Linked DNA regions of Cricetulus griseus. The protein of the gene in region 1 interacts with the protein of each later gene in a pairwise test. Links are inferred from orthologs where the notes say so. Each region holds a gene or a part of one and is shown on either strand. Other genes may lie near its edges. The genes, in order: Arrb1, glycine N-methyltransferase and Mapk9.

Region 1 (7,858 bases):
TCTCCACTACCTTCTGGATGGGTTCCAAGTGTCTCAGCCTGGCATTCAAGGCCCCTCACTGTTATCTACCTGCTGTGTGAAGAATCAGTTGTGAAGAATCATAGAGATGACCCATGGCCCTCCAGGAACAATGGACCATTCTCTAGCTCAGCTTGCCCTTCTGGGGTTTCCTCAGGCACTAGGAACATACTCCAACTATGCCCAGATGCTCTGAATCTTTCAAACACCCAGGGAACTCAGCCACCTTCACCTTTGTGTCTGGAAACTGATCCCTGGCATCTCCTCCACCACACACACACACACACACACACACACACACACACACACACACACACACTGCTTTCAATGTTCATCTATGTTGTGGCGTGGATCAGTATTTCATCTCATTTTGTGTCTGCCACATTTAAAATGTACATTCACTTTATCATCAGTCAGGCATTTGTCCCTCTTTGTGGCTACATTAAAGGATGCTACTTGGACATCCAGGGACAAACCTTTTAAAGATGTTTTTTGCTTTCTTGGGTCAATACCTAGGAGTGGGTCAGATGGGTCACATCTGAACTCAGCTTAGCTTTTTGGAGGGGTTGTCTGTCTTTCAAAGAGGCTGCACTGCTGTCCACTTTATGGTCCCACCAACAATGTAGGAGGGATTCACTTCCTCTAGGTTCTTGTCACCTTAGTTATATTGTCCTTTATTGTAACCATCTTAGTGGGTATGAGGAGGGATTAGCATAGATTGATTGGTGTGATATATATATATATATATATATATATATATATATATATATATATATATGAGAAAGAGAGAGAGAGAGAGAGAGAGAGAGAGAGAGAGAGAGAGAGAGAGCGCAATGCACTCCTGAAGGCCAGAAGAGGGTATTAGATCCCATAGACCTGACATTATAGGTGGTTGTGAGCTGCCAAACTGTGGGTGCTGAGTATCAAACTCAGGTTCTTTGCAAAAGCAGCAAATGACCCTAACCACTGACCCATCACTTCAGTTCTGTTTTGCTTTCTTGATAGTAACTCCTTTAGCATAAATATTTAATTTATTTTTCCTTCCTTTAGTTGCTTGTGATTTTGGTGTCAGATTTAAGAAGTTATTGCCTGTTGGGTGATAATTTGACATGCCTTTAATCCCAGCACTTGGGAGGCAGAGTTAGGTGAATTTCTGAGTTCAAGGCCAGCCTAGTTTATAAAGTGAGTTCCATGGCAGCTCAGATTACATGGAGAAACTCTGTCGTGAAAAACAAAACAAATCAAAATTATTGCCAAATTCAAGGACATGAAGATTTGCACACTTAATAGTTTCTTTAATTGTTTCATGGCAGTTGCTTTTACATTTGGGTCTTTGGTCCATTTTGAGCCAATTTTGTATATGGTGTGAAGTAGGGGCCTCACCTCATTCCTCTGCATGTAGACTTATAGCCCCTCTGTTATTTGCTGAAAAGACTATTTTAGCAGGTGTGGTGGCTCCCACCCATAAGGCTGAGGCATGAGAAGCTGGAGTTTGAGACCAGCCTAAGATACATAGAAAGGAAGGAAGACAGACAGACCGACAGACAGAAAGACCGTTCTTTCTCTTCATCACCTTGTCTTAGCTCTCTTGTAAAAAAATCATAAAAATGCCACAATTTGAATATAGATAAATACAGATTGCCACAAATATGTAGGTTTATTTCTATACTATTAATTATCTTTTATTGATCTCTATGTTGTCAGTACCACACAGCCTTGATTACTCTATCATTAAAATAATTTATTGTTTTTATTAATGTGTTTGTCTGTGTACATGTGTGCAGATGCTTGAAGAGGCCAGAGGAGTCATACCCCTGGAGCTGGAGTTACAGGTGGCTGTAAGCTGCACGGTGTGGATACTGGCATTAAACTCAGGTCTTCTAGAAGAGCTGTGTGTGCTCTTAAACACTGAGCCATCTCTCCAGCCCCCTTAATCACTGTATCTTTGTAGTAAGTTTTGAAGTTGAGAAGTCCAAGCCTTCCAAATTTGTCCTATTCTTTTCAGGATTGTTTTGGCAGTTCTTCTCCCTTGCATTCCCCTGTGAATTTCAGGATCGGTTTATCATAGGCATTCTCCTTGTTGGGTTCCAGCTGGTCTGCTGCTGTAACACATGCCTCAGGATTCCAAATTTTTTGTTTGTTTTTTCGAGACAGGATTTCTCAGGATAGCTTTGGAGCCTGTCCTGGAACTCTCTCTGTAGACCAGGCTGGCCTCCAACTCAGAGATCCACCTGCCTCTGCCTCCGAGTGCTGGGATTAAAGGTATGAGCCATCATCACCCAGCTCAGGATTTCAAATTTTACAATCATGTATCTGACAGGACTCAAGCCTCTCTGTTTGTACTACCATGTAGCAGAATATCCAGAACATTGCTGAATTTAGCAGCCACAGAAAGACAGTGTGGTAGGCAAAGCAATGCTTTGTCCCAAGATGTCGGGGTCCTACTCCTTGGGGCCTCTGAATGTTGTGCTATGTGGCAATGGGTAATGATGGTTGCAGATGGGCTTCAGGCTGCTAATCCGATGACCTTAAAACAGAGAGATCATTCTGGATTACCCAGATGGTCCCTGTGTCATCTCAATGGTTTTCAAAAGGAAAGGGAGGGCAGATCTGAGTGATGCCGTATATAATGAGAAGGCCACCTTCTCTCATTGACTTTGAAGATGGAGGAAGGAGGAGGCTTCCAGAAGCCAGAGAGAGTAGGAAGCAGATTTGCCCTAGAACCCCCCAGAAGTAATCAAGGGCTGCTGACACCTTGATTTTAGCTCAAGGAAGCCCACTTGAATTTCTGAAGCACAGAACTCTAGTTAAGTTTGTGTTGTTTGAAGCCACTGAATTCGTGGGACTTTGTAAATAGCAGCCACAGAAAATGAGCTTGAAGGGTTTGGGGACCCATGGATGGTTCCTTCTGTGCCTCTGGCTGAAAGTGGCATGTGACATTTGCACCCGCATTTCATTGGTCAGAATAAGCCACAGGGGGGCGTCCAACTCCACAGGAAGGAAGATGCCTGGCATCCCATACATCCAGCCTCAGGGAATCCTGGTGCCTGTAGGGAGTATCTAGTACATCTTTGTTGCCTGTAGCACTTGTTTCTATAGTCTAGTCCATCCCATTTCATTAAAAATCAAAAAATAAAGCCAGGTGTAGTGGCACTTATGAGGCTGAGGCAGGAGGATCTCTGAGTTTGAGGCTAGCTTGGTCTACATAGTGTGTTTCAGGATAGCTAGAGCTACATTTGTGAGACCCTGTCTTGAAAACAAACAACCAACCTCAAAATATAATCAGGCATAGGAGCGCATGTCTTTAATCCCAGCACCTGAGAGGCAGAGGCAGGAGAATCACTGTGAGTCTGAAGCCAGCTTGTTTGTATTTGAGTTCCAGGACCCTGCCTCAAAAAAAAGGATCTCTGTGTATGTACGTACTGTATGTGTATGTGTGCGTAGAGGCTAGAGGTCAACTATGGATGTCTTCCACTATCATTCTTCACCTAATTTTTTGAAACAGGGCCCATCACTAAACATGGAGCTTTCTGTGAACCCAGAGCTCTTTATGTAGGCCAGACTGTGTGGCCACAGAAGCCCCCGGGATCTGCCTATCTTTGCCTTCCCAGTGCTGAGGTTACAGGTGCAGCCTGCCACATATAGCTTTTACATGGGTACTGGGCATCTGAACTCAAGTCCTCATGCTTGTGAAGCAGGCGATTTATCCACTGAGCCAGCTCTCCGACCTGTAATGTTTTAAGTAGGTTTCCTAATCAACCAGTGACTTGCAACCTCTGGTTTGGACAATACTAATCTCCAGAGCCTCTTCTGCTCATGCTTCATGGACCACAGGCTATGTCCTGGACACAGGTGATTGGGCCAGGGGGTGGGGTACCTAATCAAAGCTGACCAATCAGATTCCTCTCCTGGGAATTTGGAATTGGGCCATTCAGTCAGTTAGCAGCGGGAAGCTGAGTGAGAGGCAGGGTAGAAACAGGGTTGGAGTGTGAGTCACATGCGAGCCCAAAGGATGGAGGAGCAGAAAAATCCCTGAGTAAGCGGGGCGCGCTGGTCCACAGAGACAATGGAGCAGCCGCACAGACAGCCTCGCAGCCAGGAGGCCCTGCAGCAGCCCCAGAAGGAGCGGTGGAGACAGGGAGCTACGGCTTGAGGCTCCGATGGCGTCCCCATTCTCAGCTCCGGCCCCAGCGCATCCTGCCTGCTCATCCTTCCCGTGAGATTTTGGCCTCCTTATTAGGACCTCCTCTTCTTTCTCGAGCTATCCTGAACCTTAACCAGGAAGGACACTGCTGGTCTTTCTCTTTGGGGAACCCAGCTGTGACTAAGGCTCAGGTTGTGGGGCACAGGCAAGGCTGGGGGTGAACAGACGCAGCTGCTCAGCAAGGCTGGCTGGGATTGTGGGCTTAGGTTAGGCCACGGGCAGAGAGGTCTATGCGGTGTTGCACACGTGGGGTTGTGGAAACGGAAAATACCCCATAGAGCCTCTTTTCTGACAGTGTTGGGGCAAGAAGTGAGTGGAGTTTTGAGTGGTGGTGCTTGGCTATGTGATGGAGTGGTTGAGTCTCGTGGGTGCCTCTTCGAGCCTCAATGTCTCCATCTTTGAAATGGGATTGTCCAGGAAGAGCCTTGTCCTGGGAAAAGTACTTAAAGGCATGAGTGGGGAATAATAAACAGACAGAGAATGAGGCAGCTGCTCTTGTTGTTTGAGGAAGCCACAAGAGTCCTGGCTTCCTGAAGGAGGTGGCCTCGGGTGCTGACTAAGGTAGTGGCAGGACATTCCCCACTGATGGCTGTGCTTCCTGCCCCTCTTCAGCCCCACTCTGCCCCTCACCCCAGTCACCTTTCATTTATCCCTCTCTCCCTCCCCTCTTGTCTGTTCTTCCTGCCGTTTTGAAACATGGATTTAGGAAACAGTGGGTTGGATTAAGGCACCAATCTCTGGAGGCCCAGTCAGAAGTGAGTCTGGGTCCCGACCTAGCCCCTTGCTTGCTGTGCTCCTGGGCAAGTTAATGCATCGCTTGGAGCCTCCAGTTAATTATCTGTGGAGTGGGAGTTAGACTATCCTTTCTACTATGAGAAATAATGAGCTGCTCGGCAGAGCTTTAATTCCCCTCCCCTTTGCCTCTCTCCGCTGCTTGGTGAATATTGCTCCTCCTGGCCCCACGTGTGCCTCGTCCTTCCCGGCAGCCACTAGAGTGGCTTTCTCTCTCAGTTGTTTATCCTGCCTGGGTGTGAGATCTTTCCTTTTCCTTAGAGCACAGGCTACCAAGGGCTGGAGGTAATTGTGACTTGGAAGCCACAGGGTTTTCACTTCTCTGGTTTCCTGGAGAAACATGGAGCTCCTAGCTTCTAGCTTGGAGTTGCTGGTTCAGATGGAGTGGTCTGCATTTTTTTCCCCTTACTTTAACAATTATCACACCCTGGCCAGTTGTGGCTTCTTCACACTCCCAACACTGATAAATATTAATGAGAAGACAAGGCTCCCAGGGCCCCTAGGGGAATGTTTGGGGAGAGGCTGGGCCACGCTCTCCTTTGCAAGCAATACTCAGACCTGTCAATATTCCCTAGGTCCCAGAAGGGAGGGTGAGGCAGGGCCATGGCTGTGGAGACCCCACACAGTCACAGGCCTGGATGCCTGCAGATCAGCTTCTGGGAAGGATTGGGGCACACCCTGCTGAGGCTGCCTAGGGGTTTCACCTTTCTGGGTCTGTCCCATCTCTCCCTGCTTCAGGCTTTCTGATTCTTTCCCTGGTTTTCTTCTCCTCCTGTCTCTTGTTCATCTTTTATTTTCATACCTCTACCTCTGTCTCTCTCTTCTCTCTTCACACCTCCCCTCCTTTCAATACCTTTCCTCATCCCCATCTCTCTAGCTTTCACTTTTCTTCTGCCTCTCCCCAGTAATGGCTGAGAAATTGTGGGCTGGATAAAGGTACTTAGGCGAGGGAGACTCGGGTTCCCAGACACAGCTCTAGAAGGGGAAAGGTTGCCATGAAAGGCAAGTGGCACTCTTCAGGATTTAGGGACTACATTACCATCTAATCTCAGGCCCAGTGCTCTGCTATTCGAGCATAGGCATCTGCCCCCACATTCCTGTGCCTCTGTCCCTCAGTGAAGCAATGAAATTCATTCATTTATCTGTTCAACTAGTTTATATTGTACTCTTGCCACCCTCAATCATTTAACAAGTATTTCTTGAACAATAGTGACGTGTGCCTTTGTGTGTGTTTGGGATGTACCCGTGGACAGGAGAGACAGTGGGCATATTTGGAGCGGGCATGCCAGCAGAGCAGACAGGTGGGGCAAGAAGTAAAGTATATGGTCAGGGGGTTGCTGGGAAGAAAGGAAGAGTGAATCAAGAGAAGGACTGGCTGACAGGGGTAGTGGGATTGGGAAAGTGGGCATTTGGGAAGAGTGTCCAGGGTAAGAGAGTAGGGTAGGGGAAACTGGGAGCAAAGGCCTTGTGCAGCAATCACCTGGTGGATAAGGAACGAGGAACAGAGGGGCTGGAGAGCAGTGAGGCTGGAGACTAAGGGAGGGTGGCAGGAGGTGACATAGGGAGGGAAAGAGGCCAGGTCAGATCACTGGGACTTAGCAGGCACTGAAGGATTTTCCTTTACTCGAGCTGGGTGGGCTTGTGAGTCTCCCTCAGCCCACTCTGAAGGATTGAAGGAGGGCTGCAGGCAGCTAACATTCATCCTAGGAGGAGAGGTGGAAGGAAGGAAGCTGTCCTGCTCTGAGGCTTTGCTGGTCCCTGTAGGACACTCAAGGCCTTTATCTATGGCCCTGTCTAGGGTCGCCTGCAAGAGATTGGCTGGGCAGAATCCATTAACCCTGGCTTGGCCTCTCTTTCTTTTCACAGAGTGTTCAAGAAGGCAAGCCCCAATGGAAAGGTGAGTCTGTAGTGTGTGCTGACTCCTCACTGTTCCCACACTCTGGGTGCCTCTGTGGATTAGGAAAGGAAGCAGCATCTCCTGGGAGAGACAGGCACTGTTAGCTGTCTAGGGCTGACACAGCTCTGTCCTGAGGGCCATAGGAGCCCAATGGGATGTGTGGGATGTGGGGGGGAGAGCTCCCTGGAAACTTTCTGTGTGGGCTTCAGGGAGCCCCAGTTGGGGGAGAGATGGACTGGCTTCTCCCAAAGAGACATCAGTGTGAGTGTGAGAAACTGAGGCAAGCTGGCCACTGTGACACCATCAAGTCCCCTGGTGTGAGAGGTCATGGTGTCACCTCATCCATCCATCTTTCTTCTGGGACTCCCAGGGCCTGGGCTTCTTGTTTGCTTGCACAGGCTGTAGGCTGTATCCCATTTTACTCTGTTCAGCAAACAGGTAGTACTGACATCTATGCTAGGTCGGGGCTGGGACTGCTGGGGGTTGGGAGGGTACCAAGATAAGAGAGGCATGGTGCTCCCAGTGTGAAAGTTGATCATCTCACACAGAATGCCAAGTGTGAGATTCTGGGATGCCCAGGGACTGGAAGACCTTGCCTGGGATGTGTGTGTCAACCATGGCTTCTTCTGGAGGTGACACAGTTCTAGGCAAAGCTAGGTGAAGAGGGGGATCTCTAGGGTTGAGCATAAAATCCAAGAAAGTGTGGGGCATCCCAGGGTTGTAAGTCTCCAAGCGAAATGAAGGAACAGTGTAGAGGATGACACAGGGCACATGGCAGTTTCCTGTGGCTGGGCTTAGCAGCTCACACACCCTGGGTTGCCTTCTGCATGTCTATATCTCCATTTGGAGTCCATCGTTAATCATCTTTAACCTCTCCTGCTGAGCCAGGATCAGTCCTATCTTGGATTCCTTGGCAATCTAGGGCCACAGGCATCCCAGACCAGTCA
Region 2 (7,634 bases), on another chromosome or scaffold:
AATAAAAAGTTTTTTTAAAAAAGTGGGCTGGAGCAATAGCTTAACTGTTAATTAAAATCCATGGCTGCAGCTGGACGGTGGTGGTTCACATTTTAGTCCCAGTACTCAGGAGGAAGAGCAGGCAGATCTCTGAATTGGAGGTGAGCCTGGTCTACAGAGCAAGTTCCAGGACAACCAGGTGGACTTCACAGAGGAACCCTGTCTGGGTTCTGAAAAAACAAACAAATAAAAACCAAACAAAACCCAAACATTGCCTGCACTTCCATAGGATCTAGGTTCCATATCCCAGCACGCACATGATGGGGTCTGTAACTCCAGTTCCAGGGGATCTGATGCCCTCTTCTGGTTTCCACAGGCACCAGATACGCATGTAGGACACCGACATCTATGCAGTCAAAACAACCATACACATTACTTAAAAAAGTTAAAAACGATCGCACAATTGTGGGCGTTCTTCCAGCTCCTCAGTTTCACTGCACCCAGCCTTTAGGAGAGTGTTCGGTATAGCTCAGGGATTGGACGGCCCAAACTACTTCAGAAGGCCCCTGGCCTGAAAAGGGATGGGAGGAAGGAGGGGCCTGATGTCACCTAGAGAGACACACGTATCTCCAAGTGGACTCGGTTCTTTTTATTGAATAGACACATCAGCATCTTCGTCAAAGACTTTCTCCATCACCCGGAGAAACAGTGGCCCTTTTCTGTGTGGTGTTCCTTGTGTGGACTATTAGTGAGGGGCACCCTACTGTGCTGGGCGTGGTCTAATTCTGCTTAGCGGGTATTCCAAAGGTTTCTTCCCTTTCCCACTTGGGTAGGGATGGCTTGGGCACTCATTGATTTGTCTTCTCTCGGCTCCTCCTAGCTCCTGGCCGCCCAGCTGCGTTCTATCTGTTCTATCTCACTATGGGGAAACCCAGGTCCAGGATTGCCTGGCTGAGCCATCCATCCCCACTGCGGAGGCAGCCTGGCTCGGTTCCCGGGGCTCCGGGCCCAGCAGGGGCGTATCCCCTCTCTTACCTGCCATTGGCCAGGTGGACTGCCCGGCCTGAGGACTATAAGTGCGGAGCTCGCTCGCTCGCGGCCTGAGAGCCAGGCGCAGGTCAGGATGGTGGACAGCATTTACCGCACCCGCTCCCTGGGGGTGGCCGCAGAAGGGCTCCCGGACCAGTATGCGGACGGGGAGGCCGCACGCGTGTGGCAGCTGTACATCGGGGACACCCGCAGCCGCACCGCAGAGTACAAGGCGTGGCTGCTCGGGCTGCTGCGCCAGCATGGTTGCCGTCGGGTGTTGGACGTGGCCTGTGGCACAGGGTGAGTCCAAGCGAGCTGAGAGGGCTTAGCCAGGACGGCCCGCAGCACCGCAGGAAGGCCAGTGGGGGCGGCCTTCGAGGGCGGGAGCCTGGCAGGCAGCAGTCCCTGCCCTTGGGGTAGAATGGGCATGATGAAAGAAAGCACCTGTCAAAATAGTGTGGGAGGGGGCCGAGGAGACCTGGCCCGGGGCGAGGGTGCAAGCACAGGATTCATGGGACAGAGCAAAAGCCGGACTTCGAGTCAAGCTGGATCCTTGGCCCTAGCGCTGCTCCTCCTGTGATGGCCTCGGGTAGTGTGAACAGACCATGTGTGCCTCGTTTGCACAGCCAAATGCTGTGCCAAGAGTTTGGGTACATGTGTTTCAAACAACAAAACCCATGAGGTAAGTAGTGATTTTCTCCAATTAGTACCAAGGAAGCTCCAATTAGTACGAAGGCCCACATTTGGTGGAGCAGATGCAGACCAGGACAGTTAGTGTCTGTCCCATACTCGGACTCAGCACAGGGCACATACTGCATTTATTTCCAGGAGCCTTGGTAGGCTGAGTTCTCAAATGTACATTTGTATAGTGTCTGGTTCTGATGTTTTTTGTTTTTTGTTTTCCAGACATGGTTTCTCTGTAGCTTTGGAGGCTGGCCTGGAACTCGTTCTGTAGACCAGGATGGGCCTTGAACTCAGAGATCCGCCTGTCTCTGCCTCCTGAATGCCGGGCCCGATTACTTCTTTTTTTAAGTGTTGAGCTGGAGAGATGGTTCGCCACCAAGAGCCTCCACTGCTCTTGCATTACACAGGTGTTCAGTTCCTGGCACCTACATCAGGTGGTTCACAATAGTTTGTAACTCCATTCCAGAACAAAATGCCCTCTTCTGGCCTTGGAGGGCACTGCAGTCACATGCACACATACAGACATGATTAAAATTTAAAATTTAAGCTGGGTGGTCGTGGTCCATACCTTCAATCCCAGCACTTGGGAGGCAGGGGCAGGCAGATCTCTGTGAATTCGAGGCCAGCTTGGTCTACAGAGTTCCAGGACCGCTACAGCTACACAGAGAAACCTTGTCTTTCTGCAGGGGTGGTGTGGTGTGGGGGTGTTTAAAATTTAAATTAAAAATGTTGCTGCCAGGTGTAGTGGCACATACCTTTAATCCCAGCACACAGGGAGACCTATGTAGGTAGATCTCTGTGCACTCCAGGCCATACAAGGCTACAACATGAGACCCTATCTTTAATAGGCTGGAGGGATGGCTTAGCAGTTAAGAGTGCTTAGGCTCTTCCAGACCCAGCGTCTTCCTCTGGCTTCTGCAGACAGCAGGAATGCATATGATGCACATATTCAGACAAGACACATAAAATTACATTTAAATTTTTTTTCTCTTTTGAGGCAGGGTCTCTCTTTGTAGCCCTGGTTATCCTGGTATTCACTATGTAAACCAGGCTAAAAACCTTAAAAACAAAACAAAACAAAACAAAAAAAAACCCCAAAACTTGTTGCTATCTGGTGATAAGGAAATATACTCGTGCCTGGTGGTGGGGTGGCATACACCTTTAATCTCAGCACTCAGTAGGCAGAGGCATATGGATCTCTGAGTTTGAGGCCAGCCTGGTCTACAGAGTGAGTTCCAGGACTACCATGGCTACACAATGAAGTCCTGTCCCCACAAAAAAAAAAAAAAAGGAATATACTCATGGGATCACCTGAGGTCAGTGGAGGTGGCCTGAGACAGGGGGCAGAGGAAAGAACTATGAAACAGTATGTTTGGTAAAATGCCATGTGCATGGCATCCTCCTTGGCCTCCCACTCTCCCGACTGGCCCTCTCAGTCCCTCACCTCTGACCTCATCCAGAGTGGACTCTATTATGCTGGTGGAAGAGGGCTTCAGTGTGACGAGTGTGGATGCCAGTGACAAGATGCTGAAGTATGCACTTAAGGAGCGCTGGAACAGGAGGAAGGAACCAGCCTTTGACAAGTGGGGTATGTAGGTCCAGCCAGAGCCCCAGCCATACACTCCCAGGGCCACTCTTCTCTCTGCCCTGGCCTCTTTTGTGCAGAGTGGGCTGACCATTTTTCCTCAGGGTATAGTGCAGTTCCTGTCACCTTCCTAAAATGGAAGGCTTTGACATCATTTTGAGAGAGCAGGTATTAAGAATGAGATTGCTCTATCTTTGGTGCTTGGGTTGATCTTGGGCATGCTGAGTAGACACTTGACACCTGAGCCACACTGTCACACACTGTCAGCATTTTGTTTTCCCATGTTGCCTGCTCTAGCTAGGTTAGGTTCAAGTGATTTTCCTGCCTCAGGTTTCCAACCAGCAGGGACTAGAGGTGCACACCATATGCAGGGTTCTGTACAACTTTTACCTGTCCACAGCATCCTGTCTTTCTTAGCTTTTCCAACAATGGTGCTCTCCCATTTCATCCTCCATGTCCCTAATGAATCCCCTGTGTCCCTGGGTGGAGATGGCTGATGCTGTACTGTCATGCCACTGATTCTGTCCTCCTTCCCCGGCCTCCAGTCATTGAAGAAGCCAACTGGTTGACTCTGGACAAAGATGTGCCTGCAGGAGATGGTTTTGATGCTGTCATCTGCCTTGGGAACAGTTTTGCTCACTTGCCAGACTGCAAAGGTGAGCTTTTGCCTTGAGCTCCACCACTCCCAATGGTGGGTGGCTGGCTGGCTGGCTTTAATAAGGCAGCCCTGCATTTTGCCTCTCTTCCTTAGTGCTGGCAGTTGGGAGGGAGTTGGGAGGGCGAATGGTGCTGGAGGCCCAAGCAGATAGTGTCTGTGGCCCTGCCTGGTACCCAGGTGATCAGAGTGAGCACCGGCTGGCGCTAAAGAACATTGCAAGCATGGTGCGGCCTGGGGGCCTGCTGGTCATCGATCACCGCAACTACGACTACATCCTCAGTACGGGCTGTGCTCCCCCAGGGAAGAACATCTACTATAAGGTCGGGCTGGCCTGAGTGGGAGGTGTGAGCTGGGAGGCCAGAAGCCCCATAGTGGCTTATGGAAGCTAATATAGTTGCTGCCACTGCTTACAGAGTGACCTGACCAAGGACATCACAACATCAGTGCTGGCAGTGAACAACAAAGCCCACATGGTAACCCTGGACTACACAGTGCAGGTGCCAGGCTCTGGCAGAGATGGCTCTCCTGGCTTCAGGTATGGCATGGTTTGGCAGGAATGAGGAGATGGTGGTGGTGGTGGGGGAACTGAGGCCAGCAGCCCTCACGCTTGGCTGGGGGCCCTGTTGCAGTAAGTTCCGGCTCTCTTACTACCCACACTGTTTGGTGTCCTTCACGGAGTTGCTCCAAGCAGCCTTTGGGGGCAAGTGCCAACACAGTGTCCTGGGCGACTTCAAGCCTTATAGGCCCGGCCAGGCCTACATCCCCTGCTATTTCATCCACGTGCTCAAGAAGACCGACTGAAGGTGACTTTGGCTCCAATAAGGCCCCTGACCAGGCAATGGCAGCCTCACCCGAAGACCAACATCTGACACAGATCCTGCAGCTGGGTGCAGGGATGTGGGGTCAGGCAAACGGGCAATCAGCAATACAGTCTGTGCCTTTTTCAATCCTCCTTGTGTTTCTTTCCCAAGTAATCTGCTCTCATGGTGTCCATCCCCTCCCCTAGACCTTACTCCTCCCAAAACCTTGCCCTTTGCAAGGCAACCTCTCACAACACCAGCAGGGGCAGTACAGACTTTATTTTCTGTCATAGAACTGGTGCCTCAACACCAATTCCCCAGGCTGCCAAGCTCCCAGACTGCCAGGCCTGGCTCTCCTTCTAAACACAAGGGCCTTCTACTATGGCTCACAAGGGATCTCCTGGAGGAAGGCAGGCTTCAGGTGACATGGTACAGGTACTTTCAGACATGTGGGGAGATGCAGACAAAGATGGCAGGCAGCTCCTAGCAGGCGGCAAACTTGCGCTGGATGCGCTTGTATCGTAGCAACTCCTGCTCGCTGACTGAGGGCTGCAGCCTGGCTGCAGCCTGCAACAGGTCCTCCATGGTAAGCAGCAGTGCTGAGCTCCCCATCTCTAGCCCTGAGGGGCGGCAAGAAAGAGTAAGGTCAGACACGCACGCACGCAGCTGGAGAACCGAGGCCTGGTCTGTGCGGCACCTTCCTGCTCAGCTGTCCCTCTGAAGTAAACTCAGGGCCAGGCCTGTCTCCCACGAGCTTTTTGGTTCCCATCTGGGGCTGGTGAGTAGTCTCACCTTCCTCTAGGTCTCGAACCCTGCGTTTGAGGGCAGTTGTCATGGCGTCAGAGCAGAGAGAATAGAGGTCTGCACCTGTCAGCTGAGGCGGGCAGCGATCCAGCACGTTCACTAGGCTCACAGAGGCCTCCAGCTTGAACCTGTTACCCATACAGAAATGTTATAGCTGGCTTCAGCTCTCCCCTGAAAAGCCATACTGACTGGCACATCCCCTAGCCATCCCGAGGCCTCAGCCCTGTGACAAAGCATACTTGCGTGTGATGGCGCTCAGAACACGCAGCTGGGAAGCGCGGTCCTCACTTGCCCCTACAAACACCAGCTTGTCGAATCTTCAAAGAGACAGAAACAGGAAAAGTGTCAGGGCTGCCAGCCAGGAGAAGTGAAAGACATACAAAATAGAAGTCAAGAAACAGGCCCAAAGGGGTCTGGTTGAGGAGAGGGACTCAGGATACCCACCTGCCAGGCCGCAGAAGGGCAGGATCCAGGAGGTCTGGTCTGTTAGTGGCTCCGATCACAAATACATCTTGAGTGCTGTGAAGGCCATCCAGCTCAGCCAAGAGCTGAGATACCACTCTGTAGAGAGGAGGCAAAGGCCAGAGTGTCCTTGGTATGCCCTCATGCTGCCAATGCTTCTCTTTGAAGGCTACTTCAGCAAGGACCCTTGCTGAGTTCTGCCCCCTGTCCCTCTCCACAAAGGCAGCCCTCCTTCTCAAAGTTGCACACCCAACTCCTTTTTTGTGTCCATTCTACTAGCCCTGAATTGGAAGGGCAGGTCCCGGATCAGAAGACTAATCTCACATCCCTCCCATCTGGGATCCCAGACTCCATTCCCATTCTGAACCCCTGACCTGTCCATCACACCTCCAGAATCTCCACTTCGCCCCCGGCTTGGTGCTAAGGAGTCTAGTTCATCAAAGAAGATGATGCATGGAGCAGCGGCCCTGGCCCTGGCAAACACTGAGAAAGGAGAGTGGTGTCGAGGAGCTTCAAATCAGGGGAGGGGGATGGGAAATGGGTCTTGACAGTTGAGCACAGGCAGCTGAGGCAATTGCCCAACTGGGTTGACCGTGAGCAACAGCTTGGGGGAGGGAGGTGGCACTAGGGCCACTGGGGTTGAAGAAGGACCCCAGGCCCCCTCCCTGCTCACTCACCTTCCCGCACATTCTCCTCACTCTGGCCCACATACATGTTGATGAGCTCTGGTCCCTTTACACTGAGCAACAGAGTGGGCGAGTGAGACCCATCAGATGTGTATAGTGGGTACAGCTGTCTTCTCTTCCCTCCCACATGTCCTTCCAAGCACTGCCCACCTGAGGAAGGTGAGGCTGCACTCAGTGGCTACTGCCTTGGCCAAGAGGGTCTTGCCAGTGCCCGGTGGCCCATGGAGTAGAAGGCCTGATCGTCTCAGGCCCAGGCTTAGCAGCTCAGGATGTTCCAGAGGAAGCTGGATGGTCTCCAGGATCTCCTTCTTTACATCCTGCAGCCCACCCACATCGTGCCAGGACACTGAAGGGATCTAGGAGACAGAGGAGTGTAGGGAGGTGACAGGAAGGAGCGCTTGCCCCACCTTGAGGACCTAGTTCTCACCTTGGGTGCGCCCACAGCTTGGGAGTGAGCTGTTTGCAATTGATCTAAGGCTTGCCCAAAGTCCTCGGCCAGCAGGGGAAAGCCAGCTGCACACAGCTCCCCCTCATCCTCCTCACTCAAGCCACCTGCCAAACTACAAAGAGAAACACAGGCTAGGCTTACACCTGTAAGACTACACAGTAAGTTCTAGGGCAGCTAAGGCTGAGACCCTGTCTTAATAAAAAAAAAAAAAAAAAAAAAAAAAAAGGACCAGGCCAACCAGGCTACAGATTAAGACTGCCACAAAACAACAGAGAGAACAAGAGAGTAAGACAAGACCACCTCTCTGCAGGTTTCATTGCCTTCTCCCCACCTCACCAGCTACCCCCCTATGGTGAGTTCCTCTTACCCCGAGGCTCTGATCCTGGCACAGGCTACCCGGCTGGTATGGGTGAGCAGGGCATAAAGGTCCCCTACCACGAAGCCCTATGGATTTATACAAAAAGACACATGAGCATGGTGTAGCAGGCAGAGCCCATGG
Region 3 (7,717 bases), on another chromosome or scaffold:
TCTATTCTCCAGCCACAAGGACTGTTCCAGCAGTCCCTTTCAGAATTCAAATGATCCCAAGAAACAGTCAGCCCCAAACACTGGGCTTCCTATACTAGGCTTGAATGATGTGGCACTGACTCTTTAGGAACTTCCTAGCTTTCTAAGGGCAATGGCTGGGCATGGAGAAGGACAGTATGAGAATGCTGTCGGCAAACTAGAATCTGTTTCATAGATGTGTTTCCTGGCTTTAGCCTCCTCCCCAAATTGGTCTTGGTATTTACAGTTCCCCTGGAGTTCCATGGGAGAAAGTCTCCCTTTCTAGTTACAATCAACCCTCTACTTACTCTCACATCCTCTGCTGTGTTATCTGGATCAAGACCCCCAACTTATTTTAACATTGCAGATATTTATTTAAAACTTTTTGGCTGAGTGGTGGTGGCACACACCTTTAATCTCAGCACTTGGGAGGCAGAAGCAGATGGATCTCAGTGAGTTGGAGGCCAGCCTGGTCTACAGAGGGAGTTCCAGGACAGCCAGGACTATTAAACAGAGAAACCCAGTCTGGGGGGGAAAAAAATGTTCACTGATTATTGTCAATCTCTTTGTTTGGTTCTTTGATTTACCATCTTATGTCAGAAGTTTCAAGCCATCATTTCAGAGGTGAAAATGTGAAAACTCATGAAGACACAGTGGGCTGCCCAAGATTACAAAGTCCTTTACCTGAGCTCAGAACCCAAGTCTCCTATCTCACAGCCATTATGTGCTTCACACCAAGAACCTCCTTGTCAAAAACATGTTATTCTGGACATTATTTATGGTTTGTTTATATTTATAGAGGTAATTAAAACAATTTGAGATGAGTGTTCATGCTTACAGAAAGCTGAAAGGAAAGCATATAAGATCTATCTATATTCATTATTTTGCATTAAGATTGTTTTGCACTATTTTGCATTAAGATTGCTACTCCTAGGAACTGCCAGACCCAATATTAAAAACTTAAGAAAAGGGGTAAGCATGTCATAGAACCAAAGGTTTACATTTTGGACTGAACAACTTGGGATTTTAGAAGGAGAAAGGAAAAGTATACACTAAATCTCAACAGTATATATAACTTAGTAGGCATTTAAGCTCTAAAATGATAATATTTAAAAACTTATTTCCTAATAGGTTTTCCTATCATCTTCTAAGAAACAAAAACACAGAAACAAATCAAATAAGCCAACAACTGTAAAGACAATTCAGAACAGGAGGGGAAAGTCTGGGAACGCAGCTGGACAACAGAGGCTTGCCCAGCACATCTGAAGCCGAATCTGATGTTTAGCACTGCAAACAAAACCAAAAATTAAATTAGGGGTCAGAATATTTTATCCTGGCTCCAGCTCTTATACTTAACTCTGTAGAGCACCATGGCTCTGGTGCACACCTAGCCCTATGTATACAATGGTCTAGTTTAACAAAACTAACTAGGTTAGAAACCACGAAGTGGTGCTAACACATTTTATTTCTCAAACCTGTAAAAATACACTTGCTTCTTAGTTTCCAGTGCTGTTCTTGTGGCTATTGAATGGCCACAAGTTATTGATTTAAAACAACATACATTTATTGTCTTACACTTCTGGAGTTCAGAAGTCCAACATTAGTCCTAAGGGGCTAACATTAAGATCAGCTTAGCTGTGACCTTCATGGAAGCTCTGGGAAGAATCCATTTCCTTCCTTTTTCCAGCTTCTAGAAGCTTCCTGCATTCTCATCCCACAGCACTCCACCTCTGTGGTCCCATTTCCTTCTCTGACTAGGACATTCCAGACTCCCCTTTGTAAGAACAACTTCCAATTACACTGGCCGGGCCCCCACCTCAAGCTCACTGATCTGTTGCTTTGTTTTCTATACGGGGTCTCACTCTGTACCTCAGGATGGCCTTGAATTCACTATGTGGTCCAGCCTGACTTGCCACTTATAGTAGTTCTGCTTCCAGAACTTGAATGTTAAGATCATTAATTTAATCAAGGCTGCAAAGTTCCTTTTGTCCTGTAAGGTCACACATGCACAGAAGTCTAGGCTTAGTATGTAGCTATCTCTAAGGAGCCATTATTTTGCCCATTACACCCCCAAAGGTTCACTGATGGACATTTTTTTTAATCTAATCCTTTTTTTAAAAAAAGATTTTATTTACTTATTACAATACAGTTATCTGCATGCATGCACACCAGAAGAGGGAACCAGATCTCATTACAGATGGTTGTGAGCCACCATGTAGTTGCTGGGAATTGAACTCAGGTCCTCTGGAAGAGCAGTCAGTGCTCTTAACCTCTCAGCCATCTCTCCTGCCCCCAATGGACATTTTTAATGTACAAGTACAATGCTAACAAAAAGTTTAAGACTATTAATAGAAAAATGGCTAGCTCTTAATGATAAGTGGTAGAAAATCCAGTTCCTATTGTCAAGGTAGCAGCTTATCCAATATTGAACTTATTTTAGCAAAAGTAAACTTTTTGTTTTGCTTTAATAGGAATGTACCATTACCAGATCATTCCCCTATCCTAACTGATACCATACATCTGGGCAAAGGATAAAAACAAAAGAGGAAGTGGGGGACAAGTACAATCACTTCTGAAGGTTTTACTTTCCTATATTAGAACATACTATAAAACTGTCAGTTACAAAATTAAAGTATGTATACATATGTATACATGGGTGTGTGTATATATATGCAAATATGTATGAATACATATACCTGTGTATATACATACACATATATCTGAGTGTCTGTATGTATATATGTACATATGTATGTATGCTTACATATGTATGTAGGTTTTTGGTGCTAGCAAGGAACCCAAGTACTTCCATATACTATGCAAGCACTATACCACCGAGCCTCCTCTCTAGCCCTAAACAGTTCTTGGATGTAATCGACCTATGGAGATGGATATAATTCATTGAGAATTTCTAAAGAGGTATTTAATGAATATTGATTTGGTCATTGTTATTAAGATTTTAAACAAAAATTAGGTCAGAGTCCTGGTCAGTGATTCAAGTCATCAAGTTCTAACTAAGTGCAATAAAGTTCCAAGAGATCAACAGGTGGTTTAGACCCAGATCTATCCCTAAACCCATGGGACAAAAACAAGTCAATGAGCTAGTCCTCAACTACATCACATATACAGAGACTGTCAGGGCAGATCTTGTGTAATTATATACTATATACTATCTACTTCACTTTTAAACTTCAAAAACAAGTCAATAATGGACCCAGTGGATAAATGAAGCCCATATTTAATATGGATGCTCTGTCTACCTCCCTCCAAGATAATTCATATCCCCCCTTCCTCCATCCTCTTGTCAAATTACTATCTAATTCCAAGTAAGAAAGAGTTTACATATCAAATAAACACTCATTACTTTCTATTACCACCCACGTTACAACCTGAGCCATCCCACTGACTTTAAAACCTTTCTTGTCACAAGGGTTTAAATCTGGTTTGATCATCTTCAGAGTAAATTCAAAATCTCAGCACTCCAAAACTGAAGCTTTTTGAGCATTACTGTGGTACTCGGAGTACTGGATTTTGGAGCATTTCATTTTTCAGGATTACAGATGTCCACCAGTAAATACAAATATTGAAAAGTGTGACAAAAATCTAAACTCAGGTCAGGCGTTGGTGGTGCACACCTTTAATCCCAGCACTCAGGAGGCAAAGGCAGGCAGATCTCTGTGAGCTGGAGGCCAGCCTGGTGTACAGAGTGAGTTTTAGGACAGCCTCCAAAGCCACAGAGAAACCCTCTATCAAAAAATCAAAAAAATAATAATAGTAATAGTAATAATAATAATAATAAGTTAAAATCTAAGCTCAGAAACACTTCTGCTTCCGAGCAGTTCAGATAAAGGACACTCTGCCTGTACTAGTGCTCACTGTCACTTGGAAGTTAACACCCCACTATGTGCTCACAGCTGGCACTCCCTCCATGTAGCACCTTCTTCCCTAGTTTCTTCTCTGAGCACCCAGGTCTCCCCAGTTGCCTACATTAAGGAAAACAGCAGATTTCCCTGATCAGAGTCTCTGCAGTGGAGTATCAGCTGAAGCCCACTGATGATGCCATGCTCAGCATCTTCACAGGAAAACCAAAACTCTCCTCCTGGAATGCCCAGAAGAGGACTTTTATTTTCAATCCTCTTTGCCTACCAGCTGTAAACATTAAATGTTTTATGTAATCACAATTTTTTTAAAGACAAAAAAACCTTGTTTATCACTGGGGAGGGAGGGGGGTCTCATCCAAAAACTACAGTCTAAAAAGTTTGGGAGGTGCTGATAACGGTAGTCTAGAAAACACGTGAGAAACGTTACCTTTGTCTGGCCAGTGATGTCGCAGCAGCTGACTGTCTTACCATGCAAGAGCCTAAGGTTCAGGGTCAGACCAATGGTTCTGACGTCCTGGGCTGGACACATAGTTGAAGAGAGACACCAAAGAAGAGACGGCCAGCCCAACCCCTCACACAGCATCCCTTCCTGGTTAATCCATGGTGTGATAATGACACTGCCTGGCCTCATCCTGCCAATGAATGGCAAGGCACTGCAATGATGGCGCCTGGAAATGAATAGGAGTGATTGGGAATAAAAGGAGGAGGGGGGAGAAGGTGGCCATGATGAAGAAATGAATAAAACGCCAAATTCCAGTTACACCTCACTGAATACCAATTATTCTGATATCATAATGACAGGGCAAATAAAAAAGAAAACAAAGAAAAAGAAACCAATAAATAAATAAAACCAATAACAAAGCAAAAGAAAAATTGAGTTTGTATCCTATAAATGACTGTATATAACTATAGCAAGGATTGATTTAGTTTAGCTCAAAATCTAATCTACAACAGGGGGTATTTTTTCAATCAGTGTTTCTAAACTATGATTTAGTTTTACTTTTCACTAGAGACTTAGTCTATGCTATTAGAACGCCCAGACTTACCAAACAATTCCTTGGGCTCCAGAGCCAATCGGTTTCAATTGCTGGTAACGTTTTAGGACAGTGAAAGTTGAGTCCGCCACTTGCACACTGTAAAACTGACCATCACTTTTACTGTCACTCATGATGTAGTGTCATACAGTATTCTGAAGAGATGCTACCTTCGTCAGATCCCTAAGGAGAGAAACAGAATGAACTGATGAGCTTACCAAATTGTACACTAGGATCTCAGTTCATAGTGGGTCCGATCTGCTGGAATGTAAAGGTATGGCTATGAGATGGGAAAATCAGCTTGGCCAAGATCTCAATTTAAGCAAGGGCACATCCAAAAAAAAACAAAAACAAAAACAAACAAACAAACAAACAAACAAAAAAACCCAGACATTTCAGTGGTGTAAGACCTTCAAAAGAAGAAATTAAAACAAAATTTTTCTAACATTTATTTTATGCATTTGGGTGTTTTGTCTGCACGCATGTATGTGCATGCCTGGAAAGCTGTGAGCCACATGTGGGTGATGGGAATGGAACCTGGGTCCTTTGGGAGAACAGTCAGTGCTCTTAACTGTTGAGTCACTGAAAAGGATTGTTGAGCCCTGAAAAGGAATTTTGAGATGCAGGAAGGCCACATTTTTAAAGGACTGTATTATAATAAATTGTTGGAGCTGGGGATACAGCTCAGTAGTGAGTGCTAGCATGCATAAAGCTGAGTTCACAGGAAAAACAGGTATGAAGGGGTGGAGAAAGATCCACTTCAGCAGAAAACATTTACACATTATTCCCAGCCATGGTAAGCCCACTATGTCACTGATGTGTCTCATCCATTTCCTTCTTGGGGAACCAGCTTATGTGTAGAAATCTCAGCTAGAGATGGAGCATTATTTCAGAATGATTGATTCTAGAGGTCCTGGAGACAGCAAGAACTGGGCATCTAGGTGTATGGATCCAGGCTAATATGATGAACCACAAAGTGAGACTCCTGTGCCAGTATAACAGGCTGTCTTGAGGATTAGAGACACTGGTATGAAGTGTGTGTCCCACAGATGAACCTGTTTCACGAAGGTGGAGCCAGAGTTGGCCTTCATTCCCTGTACCCCAAGCTCAGCTACAGTTCACAGTAAAATAATTATCTCCACTCTACTTATATTCACAAATATGGCTATAAACCAGTGGCTTCAGAAAGTAGTTTTCTTCTGGTTTGGACAGCAGGCTGATTCCCCCAATGGGCTTGGTCCTCAGAAGTGGGTGCTGTTTGGGAAGATGAAGAACCTTTAGGAGGTGTGACTTGGCTGGACAAAGTGGGTTGCTGGAGGACAACTTGAGGGTAACAGTTTCACTGCTTCCAGCACCAACGGCTCCCTGGTCTGTGGAGACTGAGGAACCCCAGCAGCAGGCTCATACCACTGTGTACTCCATCAGGGTGGGCTGTACCCTTGTAAGGCATGAGCCAAAATAAATCCTTTCTTCCCTAAGCTGCTGTGTCATGCATTCCATCACAGTGACTAAAAAAGGGAGAAATGTGACTGATATGCTCACCCTGTGAAAGGTAGGAAGAAGTTAACTGAAAAATTAATGAGTTATTATTTTGGTCTTTAAGATGCCAGCAACAATGGGAGGGAGAGGGAACTGGGATTGATATGTAAAATAAGATTGTTTTTAATTTAAATTAAAAAAGAAAAAAGATGCCAGCAGCAAAGCCATAGAGGCAAACATTCCATAAACAATCTTTTTCTACATTACCTTTCTCTCTCTCTCTCTCTCTCTCTCTCTCTCTCTCTCTCTTTTAAATTTTTCCAGACAGGGTTTCTCTGTGTAGCTTTGTAGGCCAGGCTGGCCTCGAACTCCCAGAGATCTGCCTGCCTCTGCCCAGCTTATTTCTATAGCACTACTAAACCCCTGCCTTTCTTGTTCCACCATTTAATATTTAATGTCCACCTGATGAGTTTTCTGCAATGAGAACTTTCTTCTCAACACAGTGATGCCTAAATTTCCTTTAAACATGGAAATAAGTTAGAAAAGGCTTAAACAAAGGTTTGAGATCAAAGAAGCAATGGAAGCCATATGCTAGAAACAGTTCAACTGCCCACCAGCTAGATTACTGAGTTGACCTTGTGGGGCAACGCCATTCCCATTTCTGGACCACCTGCCTATGCTGTGACTGGTACAAATCTCAATTTTCTCTGGCAACTCCCTTTAGCTGCTCACATCCCAAAGCTGGGCTAGTGTGATACAAGGCTAACTTCCTTGAATTTGGGGATGAGATCTAATCAGACTAGGCTCAGGAATTAATATAACTTAATCCCAAGACTTAAAATCATTCTAAAATTAAGATAAAGCACTTTTGTTAGGCAAAGAAAAAAATCATCTAAGGAAGAACCTTTCAAAGCCACTCCTGTTAAACTTGGGCTGCCTGAGAACAAGCCAAAGGCCACCCAACCCACACACATAAGACAACCTGAGAAAACAGGTAAGTTAGCTACTAATGGATTTATTCAGTTGCAATGACATTTTAAGTAAAAGGTCCATAAACTGGGGCTCAGAAAAAGCATTTTGCAAGCAGGGAAGTACAAGCATTCCTCAAGCAACCATATTAGCCACACATCCAAACCTGGATGTCATGCCACCAGCATGGGTCCAACACAATGTCCATCCATGCCACTTCTACAGTCTTGGCAGCATGCTCAGCTGGGTCTATAAAGGCTTTTATGGGTCTGTCTTTTCTCCAGGCCATGAGCTTCTTCTCACAAGCAGGGAGATAGGAGCTGGGTAGGTAACTCA

Evidence for each region.
Region 2: the proteins of Arrb1 (region 1) and glycine N-methyltransferase interact in binary tests that used the Homo sapiens proteins (3 or more experiments, as listed by UniProt). The link is inferred for Cricetulus griseus from reciprocal best matches to the Homo sapiens genes ARRB1 and GNMT.
Region 3: the proteins of Arrb1 (region 1) and Mapk9 interact in binary tests that used the Homo sapiens proteins (3 or more experiments, as listed by UniProt). The link is inferred for Cricetulus griseus from reciprocal best matches to the Homo sapiens genes ARRB1 and MAPK9.

The regions. Positions count from the first base shown.
Region 1 is NC_048596.1:99,979,091-99,986,948, reverse strand, and holds the start of Arrb1 (beta-arrestin-1), read left to right. Parts: upstream 1-3,956; 5' UTR 3,957-4,178; coding exon 4,179-4,234; intron 4,235-6,880; coding exon 6,881-6,911; intron 6,912-7,858. UniProt on the Homo sapiens protein: Functions in regulating agonist-mediated G-protein coupled receptor (GPCR) signaling by mediating both receptor desensitization and resensitization processes.
Region 2 is NW_023276806.1:256,140,664-256,148,297, reverse strand, and holds the end of glycine N-methyltransferase, read left to right. Parts: 5' UTR 1-1,102; coding exon 1,103-1,308; intron 1,309-3,152; coding exon 3,153-3,280; intron 3,281-3,822; coding exon 3,823-3,933; intron 3,934-4,112; coding exon 4,113-4,255; intron 4,256-4,348; coding exon 4,349-4,470; intron 4,471-4,564; coding exon 4,565-4,736; 3' UTR 4,737-4,911; downstream 4,912-7,634. Other genes in the region: Pex6 (peroxisome biogenesis factor 6), read right to left, coding at 5,219-5,355, 5,528-5,667, 5,779-5,856, 5,984-6,100, 6,376-6,484, 6,679-6,740, 6,838-7,043, 7,115-7,247 and 1 more. UniProt on the Homo sapiens protein: Catalyzes the methylation of glycine by using S-adenosylmethionine (AdoMet) to form N-methylglycine (sarcosine) with the concomitant production of S-adenosylhomocysteine (AdoHcy), a reaction regulated by the binding of 5-methyltetrahydrofolate.
Region 3 is NC_048600.1:64,315,813-64,323,529, reverse strand, and holds the start of Mapk9 (mitogen-activated protein kinase 9), read right to left. Parts: upstream 5,135-7,717; 5' UTR 5,068-5,134; coding exon 4,946-5,067; intron 4,568-4,945; exon of another isoform or gene 4,371-4,567; coding exon of another isoform or gene 4,327-4,370; intron 1-4,326. UniProt on the Homo sapiens protein: Serine/threonine-protein kinase involved in various processes such as cell proliferation, differentiation, migration, transformation and programmed cell death.